Linked DNA regions of Danio rerio. The protein of the gene in region 1 interacts with the protein of each later gene in a pairwise test. Links are inferred from orthologs where the notes say so. Each region holds a gene or a part of one and is shown in the gene's direction. Other genes may lie near its edges.

Region 1 (6,575 bases):
AATACCACCTCAGAAAACAATAGTCTCTCCAGGTACCACCATGATGACCAGTATAGAAATAAAGCAGTGTAGTAGGCCAAATCAAGCAGCTCCAGCACTGCACAGTTCAAAAACGAGACAGAGTCATATTCATGTTAATACAATTTTTAATAAATTATGACATATACGTTGCATGTACATGTGACATATTTGTAAAACTTTTGAAAATCTAAATATTAACTTGTATGTAGACAGGGGAACCGGTTTTTCTCAGAGGATCTCAAGCTGACAATATTATATGTTATATATATAATATATAATGTATATTCCATACAAAATATGAAGCTGATCGGTCAGTTCTTGTTACGTGACTCGCGGTGCGGCATTCTGAAAAGATGTTTTAACTGGGCACACCTGGAATACGAAAGTGCATCATGCTGCTTGCGTCTTCATTATAAATAACAAACTTGCATGTAGAAATGACACGATATGTGAACATTATCGTACACATCAAATGATTAAAATAGGATTCAATTTTCCATTCATTACTCAGTGATTCCTCCACGTACCACTAGATATAAGCCCCTGTACCAGTAGTGTACATGTACCACAGTTTGAGAACCACTGCTTTAGACAATACACTGTAGGTAAAAAATAAATAATAATAATTGTTATTATTACTGCTACTACTGCTAATAAATGAACTATTACCATAGTGGTTTTTGCATTACAACTCATTTCTAAAATGTTGTTTACATCTGCAAATAAGTCAAAATGTGCAAACATCTGAACAATGAAGGAAGTCAAAAATTCCTGTTTGATTATTTTACAGCTGATTTTCCATATGTCTCTTTTGCATCACTCTTTATAATTTAGAAAATACTGCAAAGAGATGGAAAATTTGCAAATAAACCAACAAAAAATATTTATTAAAACATTTATTGTGGAACAGAACTATAATATAGCTTTTAATCAGGCAAATAATGTCTATGGCTCAGTGCAAAATGTGTATAATTATATATGTGTAATGAGCATATAGTGTATAACTTGTGCAATAATAGTTTATTATGGTTTTATTTACAGACACAAATTCAAAACAAAAACTTAAAAGTGAATTTCATGTGCCTCAGTTTTATCTCACTTTTAAACATATTATAACTATTAAACCTGCTTATATATTTACATATTTTACATATTTATAACTTATAAAAAATCTCTAAATCAACAAAGTGCATGTAAGAGAAGTGTGTTCATCTAGTTTATAGCTTCATTTATAATGGGACAGAGTAGTTCACCAACTGAAAACGAACATTTCCTCAATAGTTCTTCGCTGTTTCTTTATTAGTGGCTGTAAACTTTAATGATTTCTTTCTTCTGTTGAACACAAATATAATAATGCTGGAAAAGCTGACTCCAATAGAACAGACATATCTTCCAGCATTCTTCAGAATATCTTCCTTTGTGTTGAACAGAAGACATAAACAGGTTTGATGAGGTGGAGGATGAGAAAATGATGGTGGGATTTACATTTGTGTGTGAACTGACCCTGAAAACTTTAAGGAAACAGTCCTGTTGTTTTTACTCTGAGTTATGTCTGGGCTATTCCTGTAGCAGGGCGCGTCTATACACTTCCTTTGACTTTCTGGTGTAGTTTCCTCATATTAATGACATAAACAAACACGAGGACACATGTATCATACTGATCACAACACACGTGTTGATCAATCTGGGAATTATCCGCCTCGTGTGCTCAGGGTTTGAGGCGGTGCAGTCTAGAAGGGATACAGCTGCGGTTACTCATACTTTTTATGACCCACCCTGTACAACAATAATTCATATTTTACATTACTGTGAGGGCTGGGGTAGGTGTAGAAGTTTGTAAATACAATTAATGGGTCATTTAATAAACAATACGAACTCAGTATACTACTGTTTACGTGAGGGTTGGGTTAGGCGTTAATAAAATACTATTTAATGGGTAGTTTAAAAAACAATATGATTCGTCTCGGTGTAATTACTGTTTTTACATTAATGTGAGGGTTAAGGTAGACGTTTATAAAATACAATTCTCGTTAACTTCATTTCTCGCCGCAGCTGTATCTCTTCTAGCAACAACCGGTGTCGCCATAGTTTGCGCGGAAGGAGAGGCGTGTCCTCGCGGCTGCTGACGTAAAGATCGCGAGATCTGCGGCCGCTGGTGCGATATAATCCCGGAGCGCCGCTCGCCCTCTCGTTCGTCCTCAGTGCAGGATAACGACGCACATCGCTCATTACGGCTGAGAAAACAGGCCAGAGACGGCATAACACTAACAACCGACCACCGGACAGCGATACCAACAGAACACACCCGCGATCTCGGAGGAAACTGAGGTGAGGCGCGTTCATTAGAGGTCGCGGCGCGTTTAATCATGCGGCTTTCTAACTGTTGACCTCTGAAGACTCCACAGATTAACTGTACATCTGCATTTATTTATGTTTTATATCTTATTAAAGGTAGAGAGAGTTCAGTAGAGGATACGATGGTCGTTTTTAATGTACATTTAGCAAATTTAGCTAAAACGCCTCAGGTTCCTGTCAGGTTTGCTAACGTTACGTCACGTGACGCAGAAATCATAACTCTTAACATTAGCCGGTAGGTTAAATTACTGTACTGTACTGTACTATATTGATTTGTAATGTAGCAGAGTAGTGAACTGTTAGTGTAACGTGAGGTTTAGTTTCCGTGTGTAAGTCAGCTGTTTCCCGGCAGGTGAGCTGACAGTATCGGTGAGTCACTGTCGGCGCTGTTCTCTGACTTCATCAGGAATTAATGAGGTCAAGTTGGTTTTATTTTCACACATTGGGTCATTTAATGCTCTCTATATTGTTTACCACTCTATTTTGAATATCGAGTCTGAAAGAGCATTTAAATATGAATTCTAAAACAACATTAGCACTGTTTAATTGACCGTGAATAATGCTGGAATGCACTTTGATGGTCATTGACTGCTGATATGATTCCCCTATTTAGAATTTGATAATACTTTTCTGAAATGAGATTGTGAAGGAGAAAGTCTGAATGTGCGAATATAAAAACAGTTTCTGCTGTTTTAACTCGTATGAGTATGGGATTGAGGGAAAGTTGGTTTTAAATTCACACATTTGGACATTCTCTTTAATAATTTAATATCAGAAAAGTGTTCTTTGCTCATTCTAAATGGTGAAATCATATAATCAGCCAATGGCTATCAGAGTACAGCATTGTTTACAGTCTGATCCTTACATCCAATTTTGACCTAACATTCAAAGTACCATGGTAAACAATATAGGGAGGGAACCACTGAATACATGTGAGAATATAAAACCAACTTGACCTCAATGAGTATCGATGATGATGATGATGATGATGATGAGGGCTGAGCTGAGAGCAGCTGTAAATCTGTGTGGAATGGGCTTACTGTGATTTGAGTTTGAGTGCTCACACACAGCTTTAAGGAGTATTAGTGTACTGTGTGTGTGTGTGTGTGTGTGTCTAATGTTGAGGCGGTAAAGTATGTTTTATATTCGCACATTAGTTTAACGTGTTGTTTATTACACTGCTTTACATATTTACATATTGGGTGTGAAATGGCATGTAAATATGACTTCATAACAACATTAGACGTGTTGGTTAATCTGCATTCATACAGCGTCTTCAAGAAGTCCCAGTGTCTGCAGGAGCCTACTGGAGGTCTGCAATCTGGAAGTTCTATCACAAGTCTGATTTGAGATAAAGCTGTTTTGTCTATAATGTGTTCTTAGGATGAGGGGAGATGGCTAAACCGAGCATGCAAATGAAGTGTTGTTGTCGGCAGGGTAAACTGCCTTTTCAGGTCTGATCTCATCATGTTCTGGAGACAGAAACCGCCTGACCAGTTGACCGAAAAGAGAAAACAAGTGACACAGCCGTGCTGTGAGACTGACACTTTGCATTACTATGGAATATAAATTTATATTCCCTCAATGGTAATGTGATTTACTGCTGTATAATCATTTATTTTTATTTTGTCTTAGTCAAAAACAACAACTTTTTTCCCCAATTAACACAATATATTACATTTTAGGAAACATTTATATTATTTTGGAACCGTAAACATGTCAGGCTACATAATTAAAATAAACCATTGACTTCTACAATCTTTTTTATCTTCAAAAATCTTCAAAACAGATTTCCTTACAACACATAAAAAAACTCTACATATACCTTAGAAACGGTATAAAAAACATTTGTGCGGTTTTAATACCGAGACTTTTCCAGACCGCAGTAAACCTTGTAACCGGTTATCATCTCATGCCTAGAATGCACACAGACTCTGAGGGAATTGTCACCGTAGGGCCCCAAATTAAGTAAATATGCTCATAAATCAGACAGAATGAAGTGTTTAGAGATGTAGAAGTGCAGAGTGTGTGCTGTGAGCGTTGAGTTTAGAGGGAGACGAGAGAATACACACACACTGTACAGAACAAACATCACTACAGCTGTACCGAGATATACGAACGTGTGTGTGTGTGTGTGTTTGTTTGTGTGTGTTTGTTTGTTTGTGTGTGTTTGTTTGTTTGTGTGTGTTTGTGTGTGTTTGTTTGTTTGTTTGTTTGTTTGTGTGTGTGTGTGTGTGTGTGTGTGTGTGTGTGTGTGTGTGTGTGTGTGTGTGTGTGTGTGTGTGTGTGTGTGTGTGTGTGTGTGTGTGTGTGTGTGTGTGTGTGTGTGTGTGTGTGTTTTTGAACTCTCAGTACTGAGGTTGTGGCTCAGTTCCAGTCATGTGAAAGTGACAGTAACCCTTCACACCGGCCGGCTGTTAATCACCATGACAGTGCACTGTGTAATCAGTCAGTTGTAATTAACCTGCTCTCTGTTCTGTGTTTTCCAGACCTCACTGAACCGTCAGCTATGGACGCCATCATTCGCTGCCCATTCCTGTCCCGCGTCCCGCAGACGTTCCTCCAGCAAGCCAGGAAGTCTCTGGTGGCGTATGCGGTGAAGTGTCCTGTGATGATGGATCTGGCCTCCAGACCCCTGCTGCGCCCGCTCTGCTCCTCTAGCGCCAGCTTCCAGAAGGTGGAAGACTCCTCTGCGGCCGGACATGGTCAGTCACGTGCTGTTATAAGGGAAAAATTGTAGAAACGTCATTATTTAAATATAAAACTGCATGATAAGGCTGCGCAATATATGGTTTCAGCATCGATATCGTGATGTACGAGTCTGCAATAGCCACGTCACAGAATCTCCAATGTTGGGATTATAATTATTCAGAAAGCACCGTTCAGAGCATGTGATTTGGGGAGTTTAACAGTGAAAGAGTTTTATTTGGATGTGTTTTAAAGACCTGTGACTGTGTCATACATGCGTTCACCCCTCACAAATCTCGCATTTAAACTGATCTTGTCTACAGAATGCTTTACAGTAAAATATTTATGCAGATACATTGAATTAGTCTGTGCTGAAGCCAAATCTGGAGCCAAAAAAACAGCCTAAAAATTAGTATCCCAAATTGATATGTTCTTTTTTTGGCTAAATTTTACATGAAATCCAACCTGAAGTTTCACACAGAATTTTAAGACATTTTAAGAATCGATTTGATCAAGTAGTTTTTACCAGATGTCGTATTGGGCATACGAGAATAACACATGGTTTTTTGCTCCAAGGTGAAAACCCTACTCAGTGTTTGTATTGCAAAACTCATCTTACTGTAAAGCATATTTTACTGGACTGTCCTGCTTTTACTGATTCCAGAAGGACTTTTTATGAAATTAACTCTTTTAAGGACATTTTTGACAAAGTAACACCCGAAAAGATTTTAGAATTTTTATCATGTATTAACACAAAAAATCTTATTTAATTTATGTTTTATTTTGTTTGTTGATTTTTAAATTGTATATTTATTGTTGAAAGATTCCTGCCATGAAGATAGCCTTGGTTGCTGACATGGCACTAAATAAAAAATACATTACATTACATTTTGGCTAAATTTAGCGCACATTTAAATGCATTATCTTGATATTTTTAAAGATGTTCAATGACTAAAATATGACTTTAATCAATATGTTAAGTTTTGTTCAAATCTATGAATATATATTGTCGATATTCTTTAAGAGATGTATAAAATATTCCATTTCAAAATAGGGTAAACTCATTTATGCTGATGAATCTCCTCTTTTTTTTTTTTATTTATTTATTTTTTATTCAGAAGCCAGTGATGCTCCTGCAGTGCCCGCTGGTCACCCTGCTCCTGCAGCCGGGCATGCCTCCGCCTCTAAATGCCCGTTTCTGGCAGCAGAGATGAGCCAGAAGAACAGCGGTGTGGTCCGGCAGGCCAGCATGGCTCTCCAGGAGGATGTTTCTGAAGTTCGCACCGTGCAGAAAGGTTTGAGGAGCTGCTTTAACCCCTGAACTGTCACTGCCCGATAGCAGGATGCTTCAGTGTACTGCACTATACTGCAATGAACTCCTAATCTAATCATGACAGGCTATATATCGTTGGAAAGGTCTAAGTCTTCTGAATACATGTTTTTAGCTAGAGTAAGAGAGCACAATCCATTTACTCTTCAACCTATGGGACTGTTTACAGTTGCATTTTAAA
Region 2 (5,445 bases), on another chromosome or scaffold:
ACGTTCTAGGATTGTTACTGTACTTACAAACTCTTATTTTACACTTGTAAGCCTACTGGGCACAAGACAAAAAATGTTTTTTACAGGAATGGTTACTTTTCGTAGCATTAATTGTAACAATAAACCTTTAATTTAGAGCAGTATTCACTTTAATAATCATTGCGATTGTCACTGTAATTTGTCACAGAAACTTTTCAGTGCACCCTCTATGTGTGTAAGCAAATGTACAGTATACTTAAATGCATTTTATTATCCAATGGTCACTACTGTTACCATCACTGTTTTTACTTATTCTATGACCACCACACTCAATACAAAAACACTTCATTTTAAGATCTTTATTATATATTTATTTATATTTAAGCAAACTTTATTAACCTTTTGATTCTCTGGTGTAAACGGAAGTTAAACTGCTCCAGTCGCATGAAAATGTGCATTAACCATGTGACACTTCACAAATTTGATTGAGATATTTTTTTCGTACGTGCAGGAAATGCTCAAGTCAGTACTATTTTTGAAGCTTTTTAGATTAGAAGGTCTCTTTACAGTCACTGAAACATTATTGTTGTGTTCTGAAGGAATCTGCAATTGAGGCAAAATTCACCGAAGTAAATGCTGTGAACAAGCAGAGACTGCAGAACCTAGAATTTGCCCAAAGCCTTCTTAACCAGGTAAAACATGTTATTGTTCTGTATTATGTATATTCCAAACCATAGAGTAGTCTAAGGATTGCTCATTTACTTTAACGCATGCGATATTTTATAATTCTTTACAGCAACCAGAGGTTACAATAGTCAGGCAAGATGTCCAAACTGTGAGATCGTCTGCCCCAGGAGAAGAGCCCTGGAGAATCAAAAATCAGCTCCAGGAAGAAATTCAGCGCAGAGACCAACTAGAAAGGGAAATTCAAAGTGTCCAAAGTGACATCTATTTCCTGGAGGGCCAGAAACCACAGGATACAATTGTCAAGAAAGAACTTGTCAAGAAGGTGCCGGACCCTCAACTGGATGAGGAGTACCACAGAGTTCAGCAGAAGCTCCTGGATGAAAGCAGGACCACTCGGATCTTAGAGAGTGAACTGGACACCCTCCGTGTGAAGCTGCGTGGGATTGAGACCGAAATGAAAGAAGGAGCTCAACAGTACACAGTTAAAGAGGTGCTCCGCATTGAGAGGGACAGGGGACAGGAGGAAGAACTCAGGAGACTACGAGAAGAGCTGGAGGAGGTCAAGCGGATGAAGATGGTTAGAGAGAATGAAATCATTCAGATTAGAAAGCAAGTGACTATTCTTGCAGAGGAGAAGAGCAGGGAGCAGGAAATCATCAAAGAGGAGGAAGTCATAAAGGTTCAAAATGACCCTCAGCTGGAGAGTGAGTACAGAGTATTGCTTGAAAGAAAGCAAAAAGACATAGAAACCCGTAAGGAGCTTGAAGACGAGCTTCGATTCCTGCAGGAAAGACTAAGACGTCTTGAAAAGGAAAAGGCAATGGCTGAGGAAAAGATCTCCATCAAGGAAGTCCTGAAGGTTGAGAAGGATATTGCTTTGGAGAGAGAGGTAGAGAACCTGAGGAGACAATACGAAGATGAAAAAACAAGACGCAGTGCTGCGCTAAGAGAGAGAACAGACCTCCAGCGCAAGATCACCAGCCTGGAGGAAGAGAAGTCAAAGGTCATTATCCAGGAGAAGGTGCGTGAGATTGTCCGACCTGATCCAAAGGCAGAAACAGAGGTGGCGAATCTTCGACTTGACCTGGTGGAGCAGCAGAGAAGGTGCAGAGATTCAGAGCTTCAGCTGAGGTCCCTTCAGGATGAATTGACAATGCTGAGAAACAGAGGTCCACAGATTGAATACAAAGAGATCATCAAAGAGGTCATCAAATACAAGATTGACCCACAAACAGAAAGAGAGCTGGAGCAACTCAGAAATGAAATTGTGGACAAAACCCACCAAACAGAGAGGTTCGAAATGGAGATACTCCAACTCAAAGACGAGATTCAAAGATGGAAAGACACCAAGCCTCAGATTCAGACCAAAGAGGTTGTGAATGAAATCCTGCAATACAGAGAAGATCCTAAAACCAAGGAGGAGATCGAAAGCCTCAAGCGGAAACTGGCTGAGGAACAGAGGAAACGTTTGGAGCTGGAAAATGAAAGGGCCCTCAGTGAAGAAAAGATCAGGATCAAGAAGATCGACTTGTCACAGGTGAGGGAGAAACTTGTCCAGCAGGAAGTCGTGAAGATGGAGCTGGATCCACTCTTGAAGTCTGAATGTGACACCTTTTCTCTAAATATCAGCAATGAGCAGAAACAGAGAGAGATCTTGAAAGAAGAGCTGATCAGGCTCCAGCGTCAAAAAACTGAACTGGATGTTCAGCTTGAGGAACTGGAGCGTGAACGTAGAGCCCGCAGGGATGCGGAGCTCGAAATTCAGAGGTTGAGAGTGCGGCTTAATGAACTTGAGATCAGGGACAAGGAAAACAGAGAAAAGGTGACAGTAAAGCAAAAGGTTGTCCTTCAGCAGGACCCTCAACAAGAAAAAGAGCACTCTATCCTGCGCCTTCAGGTTGAAGAGGAGAGGCACAAGCGCATGCTCTTGGAGAAAGAGTTCAACGCCTTGTTGCAACAGCAGGAGATACTTGAGAGAACAGAAGTGCGTGAGAAAGTTGTGCGAACTGAAAAAATCCAAGTTGAGCGAGATCCAGATGCTGAGATGGATATTATCAGGCTAAAGAAAAGCCTTGAAGAAGAGGAAAGACGACGTCGTGAGCTGGACCAAGAGATTGTCACCCTAAACACAAAGCTTTCAGAAATGGAATTCACCAATACGAAATCATCAAAAGAACTCGACTACATTCGTGACGAAAGCAACAGGTTACAGCAGGAGAACCAGCGCCTACAAAACGAATTACGGAAGCTTCAATCTGAAATCGAAATCACAACAACAGAAACCAGACACATCACTGAGTCATCTCCGGTTGAGAGTAGCAGGAACTTGGAAATTCGAATGGAATCCTTGCAACGGGAACTTGCCGAGCTTAGACGCATCCGAATGGAGAAGGACGATGAAATCGAAAAGCTTCAGAAGAGTCTGGCTGCAATGCGAGTGAAGAGGGAACAGCGAGAAAGTCACCTCCGCCGTTCAATCGTCGTCATTGATCCAGACACCGGAAAGGAGATGAAGCCCGAGGAGGCTTACAAGCTGGGCCTAATCGAATGGAAAATGTTTGTCAACCTTCAAAGTCAAGAGTGCGATTGGGAGGAGATCACCGTCAAGGGTCCAAGTGGCGAGTCCTCCGTTCTTCACGACAGAAAATCAGGCAAGAAGTTTTCCATTGAAGATGCTCTGAAGGCAGGAAACATCACAAACCGTCAACTGCAACAGTACCAGAACAAAGAAATCAGCATCCAAGAGTTTGGCGTCATGCTGTCAGGCAGAGGCAAATGAATCCATTAATTAGACAAATACAACCAATTTTATATTCTGTTTACTAGTATTAAGATCTAGAGTAAACATGCAGTTTGCAGTCCCAAATTGCATTTTTTTATTCCCTTTCTCAATACAGTATGTATTTATTTTCAAATGCATTCTTATACCAATGCAAGAAGGTGTTTCTTTGGTTATGGTGCTGAATTTGGGTTAATGTTTCTAACGCTATTCCTGAAATGTTTTCATTGGAGTGTAGCAGATGAGACACTATGATCATATTTTACTGAAATCGAGTTCAGTTTTACTGTAATCTGATCTAAAATATGCATACAAGTGTGTGCCTTAATGATAACGTAAGGACCCTATCTGTCTCTTTTCATGCACTTTTTTTTTCAGCTGTGTCAGATTAATCTGTTCTCCTTTCATGTTTGATTTGAGATTAAAAATGAAATATGGATAAACCTGAGTGCTGTGTTCTTTCCCTTCGTCTTTATCATAAAGCAGTAAAAGCTCTTTTTGCAATCATTTTTAGTTCACAAAATCTACTTGAGTCTTTCATCGACTTTTTCACAACATTTACGCTCATCAAAATATTGAAAATATGTTTAATATATTAAAATTACTTTTGGATAGATTGATTGTTTCATCTTTCATAAGTAAATGTAAAATAAGAGCATGAGGCTGAGGGTGTGACCCATAGACCGCATAATAGACCTCACCACTTGACCTGTGAGTGGATTATGATGTCAATTTGTAACTTCAAATTAGTTTTAATCAGATGCTTGTATCCTAGAACTTATCTTCAGAAATATCTATCTGAGCAGGTTCATGTGGTATTTATTATTAATATATTATTATATATATATTAATATATAATATAATTAATATATAATTATATATTAATATATAATATAATTATATATAATATAATTAATATATATTATTATATGTGTGTGTATATATATATATATATATATATATATATATATATATATATATATATATATATATATATATAATATTTTCTATGTATGCGGTGTGCATTGAGGGAATTTATTACGCATAATAATCACCTTCCACACATATAACATCATTTCAAAGTTAAAAAGTTGGTATCAGGTCTGTAGCCAGGGTGCAAGGGTTGGTTCTTTTATTTCTCAAAAAGTGGACTAAAAAGTTATTCACCTTATTTTCTATCTAATTATGAGGTTAATACTGCATTTTAAAGATTAGCACTATTTTTGCTGGATTAGTTTGTCAAACGGACATCGTAACTAGTTTTTGATGTACCCAAAGCATTTCCTAAAGATTTAGAATAAATAAATATGAGAACGATATTTATTTTTAAAATACAAAAAAAAATTAAATCTGTTAATTTTTTTACATTTATTAGGCGAATAACGAACCAGCTGGCATATTCAATTTTACTCTGCTGAGTGTGGCACGGTGTGACTTCAGAATGGCACGCCATGCCAAATTCGGTGTCCCAAATTATGTAACTTACAGCAAACACAGAATTCCACTTAATCTTAAAACCTTTTTTGATTTTTTTAAATTTTTTTTTTTACAATTTACTATGGAATAGCAGTCGAAATAGGGCAAATAAGCCCATGTATGGGACAAAACATCTGGACCTTTTTCAGAGAGGGTGGGTCTTTCGAACCACCCGAACCCACCCCGCGCTGCGGGCCTGTGGATACCACATAAACAATTAAAATATAGTCTTGGTTTTATATATAAAACAACTTTTAATATAAAATAAAAAGAGTTTCATTTCAATATAACGCATTGAGTTTTCGTACTTTTTAAAAATAGTACGCTTCTAAATATTGTTGTCGTAAATTAATTTTTTACTCGGAAATCGCTTCCACTCTAATTTCTACGACCTTATTTTAAAAAATAAAACTATGCATTAAAAAGCTGGCCTGTTTGGTCAACTCGACAAGTGACGAGCCAACTCGCCTCATACATTGATATAAATGAAAAACTCGGCCTACTTTGATCGCGTCGCGTCGTCG
Region 3 (6,073 bases), on another chromosome or scaffold:
GAAGAGTGTAGTTTTAATGCAAATTGTACTGCACGCTGTTTGGGTAAAAAAAAAAAACCTCCATATTTTATGATGCAGGTGTCTGTGGTCCTTTACTGACTCGGTAGGTACAGAAAATAGTGTCAAAAAGCTGCATGTGTTTAGACTATTCTGATGCAAAATGTGGTGAAAATCCGACATGAAGACAGTAGTTTAAGCTGTTTACATGTCTGTAATGCAACTAAAATCGGCATCTCCACATGTCTTTATTCTATTTCTGTTTAGTTCAATTATGACCTTAATTCTTAATCAAAGTATTGTCTTAATTGTATGAAAATTTGATTATTGGTGTCCAAAGCAGACCTTTAAAAACGTTATAGATTTTTATCTCGTGTATTATTAATATTTATTATTATTATTTTATTTTATGTATTGTTTATTGCTGTTGATGACTTTTAATTGTTAAAATGTTTTTATAATTATAGAAAAGTGATATTTATAAAATTTGTTAAATGTAAATGTGATCTTTTTTTCCCCTATAACATAGCTAGAAGCTGATGTGGCAATAGATTCAAAACTCTCTCGCTTTCTAAACTTTTATAATTTTTTTTCCTCTGTTGAACACAAAATAAGATTTTCTGAACAATGTTGGGGGGTAAAGCAGTCATTGACATCCATAATAGGAACAAAAAATGAAATCAGTGGCTGTTTTTCCAACATTTTTTAAAAATCTAAAACACTAAAGCAGATAACTCATTGGCATAATTGTGAATATTTCTTAAATTAATTAATTAATTGTCAGTTTATTTCTCTAAATAAAAATCCCCCCTTTAAATAGAGGCCTGATTTTTTTTTTTTTTTTATGAAAGCTCCATTTATCACTCATTCTTTCATTTGTATGCCTGCATGTGTTTCAGGTCTGGATTATGTGAGTCACGAAGACATCCTGCCTTACAACTCCACTGAACAAGTTCCTATCCAGCATGAGCTGTTTGAACGTTTCCTAATGTTTAACCCCTCCAGAAGTAACTAGTCATCATCTTCTCATTAGTATTAATATCAGTCCTGAGTCTGATAATAAATTTCATTGCATTTATTTTGTTTCTTTAGATCCTCCGTTTACTGCGAGAGATACCTTACGGGCCTGGCAGGAGAAGAACCATCCCTGGCTGGAGCTGTCAGATGTGCACCGGGAAACCACAGAGAACATCCGTGTCACCGTCATCCCCTTCTACATGGGCATGAGAGTAAGAATAGAGTTTTAAGTGGATTGCAGATTAAATGTTCACAACCTTAAAAAAAGTTTGTGGCCTGTAAGATTATTTATAAAAGAGGTCCCTTATGCTCACCAAGGCTGCATTGTGTACAAAAGCACAGTAGAAATTGTAATATTGTGAGGTTTTACAGATGAATGTAACTGTATTATTTATTTGTATATAATACAGTTGTTGAAATGTATTTTAAATTCTGTTTATTTAAAAAAATTCAATGCATTCGTGTGATGGCAGTGCTGAGTTTTCAGTAACTGTTACTCCAGTCTTCAGTGTCACATGATCATTCAGAAATCCTTTTAAAAAGCCTCTATTATAATATGCATGCAAGGCCAAAAACTCTTTTATTGTTTTATAATATGCATTTATTTTTACCCAATTATCCCAACAACTCCCATATGAATCGTTCAGCTACTCATTTGTTCCCAAACCCCTCCTTAGCACAAAGCTAATCTGTGCTGATTGTACCGATGACACAGTCTGTTGTGACTAGTCGACTGCACTCAGCGTGGCAATAGCAATGACAAACAGCAGAGGATTGCGAGTTCAGAAACGCATTTAAATCGGTAAAGGAAGAAGCATGCGTCGTGTTTTCAATGTGATTTTGGACGCAATATGTGAATAGCCTCATGGAGGTTTAACCAGAGAGATAGAGTACAAGCAGTGATCTATAATAAATAAGTTGCACGGATCTGTGCTTGAGCTGCGTATATTTGAGGGAGTGTGCAAGAGGTTTTGTGCACAAGCAGAGGAAATTGGCACGCAAGCTGAAAGATTTGCATGCTCGTATTGCATAAATGCGATCTCGACTTGTAATTCTGCGCTCACGACATTTCTCCATTTGTCATTAAAATAACGCCATAGGTAGTTGGTTGATTTGTGTAAAAGGTCTGCCGCCACAGCTGGAAAAAATCCTAAAGGGAAACACTGTAAGGGCGAACTCACACTATGCTATTCAAACCGTGCTCAGGCCCGTCCAGCGTATCATTTGAGAAGTGTGAGTGCTCTGAATCAGGCTCAGGCATGGTTCAGTTGGCTGGTCCTGGCCCGGTTGGAAATGTTGTGCCAGAGCACAGTTCACGTGGGCTCAGGCGTGGTACACTTGTAGTGTAAGTGCAAAGACATGACCGAGACATGACTTTTAAGGGACCGTTTCATATGGATTTATTAATCATTCTTACTGTTCAATGAACCTGAACTGTTGTAGATTATTAAAGACACAAACCCCCCACTGCATGACAGTTGCACCTTCAGCAAACCTCATAATTCTTGCTGCACAAGGACTTTATGATTGTTTCTGAGCGTCAAAGGTGGCTGATCTGTTGGGCGAAATTTTTGACTGCGTGTCACCACATCCCAAACCACTAAAACGATATAACTTAAGAAATCTCCACTGTGCTGAACGCCATCATCAATGACATAAGCGTGCTCAGGCCTGAATGCAATGTAAGTGCGGTCCGCCGGGGAAGACGAGAGGGGGACAAGCGTGCTTCGGCGCGGTTCAAGGCAACTGTACATAGTGTGAGTGCGCCCTTACATGTTATGATCCGGAGGAAGAAGAAATTGGTCCATGTGAACTGTGTCAGACTTTGACAGGGACTGTCAGTAACTGTTAAAGCCCCATACATAATAGTCTCTGCTGCTCCTTCCTTTAATAGCAAACTGCCGGCGAATCCCACGTTGCAGCGTAGGTTATTGTATCAAAAATCTGAAAAATGACAGGAACAAACACTGCGCTAATTTTGGCTATACTGTGGTGTTGTGAAAATGAACTTTAACCCTTTATTCTCCGCAGCCGAATCTCCATCTGTTAGTAATCGTTACCTTCGCTCATAATCAGTCCCGTAATCTCCGCTCTCTGCTAGTGTCTGAAGTGAAAGTTGTGTTCATATTACACTGGATCCAGTACTACATATTTGGTGATTTACCGCATCAACGTCAACGCATTCATAGCAAAAGATCCGAACCCAGCTCAATTCATTCATTCAACTCTTGAGTCGAATATTCTGTTAAAGAAAGTCAACTATTTTGTTGAAGAATCAATAGTTTTAAACATAGTGGACTTTCAGTTTTAAACTGATCATCTGCTGGATGTTTTCATTCTCTTAGTGCTGTGTTACACTGCATGGAAGTTCATTATCAAAAACCATTAATAGGAACTCTTTAATGTTATCAATTATACTGTTTACTTTATGTATTTTAAAAAAATGTGATGAATAGAAAATTTAATACAAAATATATTATTTGAAATAGAAATATTTTGTTTTAATTTAAATATGTACTATAGTTTTTGATCAATTAAATGCATCATCGAATACATACATTCTGTATATTTATTTACTGTACTTTAATTTTAAAATGAACATGGTCTTGATTTATGTTTGTTTTTGTATGTCTACAGGAAGCTCAGAACTCCCATGTGTATTGGGTAAGCAAAATTACCTGATTATGGCATTTGTAATGACTAAATAAAAGGGCTATTTATAGGCTGGCCATCGGTGACCTGTTGAAGATGATATGTTGATGTTTTCTGCAGTGGCGTTATTGCATCCGTCTGGAGAACCTGGGCAATGAGGTGGTTCAGCTCAGGGAAAGACATTGGAGGATCTTCAGTCTTTCTGGGACTCTGGAAACAGTCCGTGGAAGAGGAGTGGTTGGCAAGGTGAAATATTAATTAGCAAAAGCATAATCTAGAATTCAAGACTATGGAAATAAGATTTGTTTGCTAAATGTTAATTCATCATTATCTCACCAGGAGCCTGTTTTGTCAAGAGAACAGCCGGCGTTTCAGTACAGCAGTCATGTTTCACTTCAAGCACCCAGTGGACACATGTGGTGAGATTATCAACATGTTGACATATATGCGTTATTCTAGCTTAATATTTAATAGAAGCATTAATAGAAGAAATTAGCTTAATTTTGAATAATGTGGGGTTTAGACTACACAATATTCTGTTTTTGGCACAATGCCTTTGATGTAGGGTGTTGCTATGATATGTAAATCACAATACGATGCAAAAAAAAAAAGAACATTCCTTTGTTAATTCTGACCTTTTAGATGAAAACACATCTTATTTAAAGAGAGTCTTCACAGTAAAATGAAAATTTCCAGTTAATTTACACACCCTCAGTAGAATATCTTGGGTAGACTATTAGGAAGATTATAACCAGGAACATTGTCCTTTGTCCAACTTCTAGAATCCACATAATGGAAATCAGTGGGCACCATCACTTTGAGATTTAAACAAAAAACATTTTTAAAACAAGCTATCCCTTTAAAAACTGCAGTCATTAGCCCCTTTCACACATACAGACGGAAAGGTTGTATGTGTGAACAGGTCCTTTTTGAAAATACCGGTAAATTCGTTCTGGCTATTTTCCGGAAAGAGAAGTTGTAACATTACCGGCAATTTGCCGGAATGCTGCGCTGTGTGAATGCAGAAGGAAGATTGCCGTAATAAGCGCGTGCACGTCTAGAACGTGCTGACGTGAGACGTCTGCTTTAGCCAATCACAACAGTCAGACGCATTTACGTCCACGTGGTTTATGAGAATAAAAGCCTTTGAATATTTTTCCAGACACATTTAGCTGCTAGAAGTTAGTCCGATCACGTTTATATGTTCTTCTTAATGCCAACTGTGTAAATAATCATCGATGAGATGCTTATGATAAGCCGTTGTTTGTTTACCTTCCAAGCTTTGCGTGTGCCTGTGAAACAGCCTGTGAGCGCCTGCACACGCACATATTATGAACATCTCGACATGCGAAAGTGATCCTGCGAAAGTTGTTCACAATATTGATCATCCACAGAGTTTGTAATTTAGTCAAATGTTTACAAATACAAGCGCAGCCGTTTAAAGCTCATTTGTGTTGAATGATGTCAGAATTTACCGGTATTTTGGAATGTATGTGTGAATGCTATTTTCCGGAAAATTTCCGTAACGTCCTCGCCTGTGTGAACAGCGCTTTTTTGAATATACCGGTAAAGTCGTTCCGGAAATTTTCCAGATATTTACCAGTATCACTGTGTGAAAGGGGCTATTGTCTTGTTAGGAAACAACAAGCTCTTACATGTTACAAACAACAAGAATTTAGCATTCAAACTCACCTTAATTTGACAGGCCTATTGTTAGTGGGTTGTAAGGTAAAAAAAAAAAAAAAGATCTAAAAAGCAAGTTTTTGTGTAGTTTAGTAGCTATCAGAGCAGAGAAAGAAAGCTGCTGCTCTCCAGGGTTCTCACTTATAAATGTGGCATGTACACAAAATCAGGGTAAAATGTGCATGGACAATAAAACAAACTTAATGGGAGAATCTGCACAGCTGTTAGTTAACTCCAAGTAAACATATTTAACTTTAATAGTGACTTTATTGAACCACTAAAAATCATAATCATTAATAAAACTAGTTTTTTAAAATATGTCTTTCAATTGATGTTTTTATTTGGTGAGTTACAGGTTTGTGAATGCTTTAATTTATTACAAATCATAAATGTGCTGTTAACTATTGTATGCAATGCAAAATACAGGGATGTGATTTCAGTCACCAGAACAAATGTTTCATTATCAAGCTTTTCATTTGATGAAAAATAAGTGATCCCTTGCATAAAAGGATTGTCTCCATGAATAACATCATTGCATTGTTTGTTACGGGTTACGGGTTGTTTGAACAGGGTTATCACTGGTCATGGGATTTCTGGAATATCATTTCTATTCCAGAAATTAAGAGTCAGGGAATTTTCATTTGTTTATTATTATTGTTAATTTGTCTTTGTGTTTTTCATTTATCGAAATGTCTTTTTGTACTGTATATATCATGCTGTTTTG

What was found.
Region 2: the proteins of alas1 (region 1) and ppl interact in binary tests that used the Homo sapiens proteins (3 or more experiments, as listed by UniProt). The two-hybrid records come from large-scale screens. The link is inferred for Danio rerio from reciprocal best matches to the Homo sapiens genes ALAS1 and PPL.
Region 3: the proteins of alas1 (region 1) and poldip2 interact in binary tests that used the Homo sapiens proteins (3 or more experiments, as listed by UniProt). The two-hybrid records come from large-scale screens. The link is inferred for Danio rerio from reciprocal best matches to the Homo sapiens genes ALAS1 and POLDIP2.

What each region holds. Positions count from the first base shown.
Region 1 is NC_133186.1:318,683-325,257, reverse strand, and holds the start of alas1 (5-aminolevulinate synthase, non-specific, mitochondrial), read left to right. Parts: upstream 1-2,211; 5' UTR 2,212-2,349; intron 2,350-4,865; 5' UTR 4,866-4,885; coding exon of another isoform or gene 4,886-5,081; intron 5,082-6,182; coding exon of another isoform or gene 6,183-6,359; intron 6,360-6,575.
Region 2 is NC_133178.1:35,308,793-35,314,237, reverse strand, and holds the end of ppl (periplakin), read left to right. Parts: intron 1-578; coding exon 579-671; intron 672-775; coding exon 776-3,445; 3' UTR 3,446-3,890; downstream 3,891-5,445. UniProt on the Homo sapiens protein: Component of the cornified envelope of keratinocytes. May link the cornified envelope to desmosomes and intermediate filaments. May act as a localization signal in PKB/AKT-mediated signaling.
Region 3 is NC_133190.1:27,160,309-27,166,381, forward strand, and holds part of poldip2 (polymerase delta-interacting protein 2), read left to right. Parts: intron 1-896; coding exon 897-1,004; intron 1,005-1,089; coding exon 1,090-1,226; intron 1,227-3,651; coding exon 3,652-3,678; intron 3,679-3,786; coding exon 3,787-3,912; intron 3,913-4,005; coding exon 4,006-4,085; intron 4,086-6,073. UniProt on the Homo sapiens protein: Involved in DNA damage tolerance by regulating translesion synthesis (TLS) of templates carrying DNA damage lesions such as 8oxoG and abasic sites.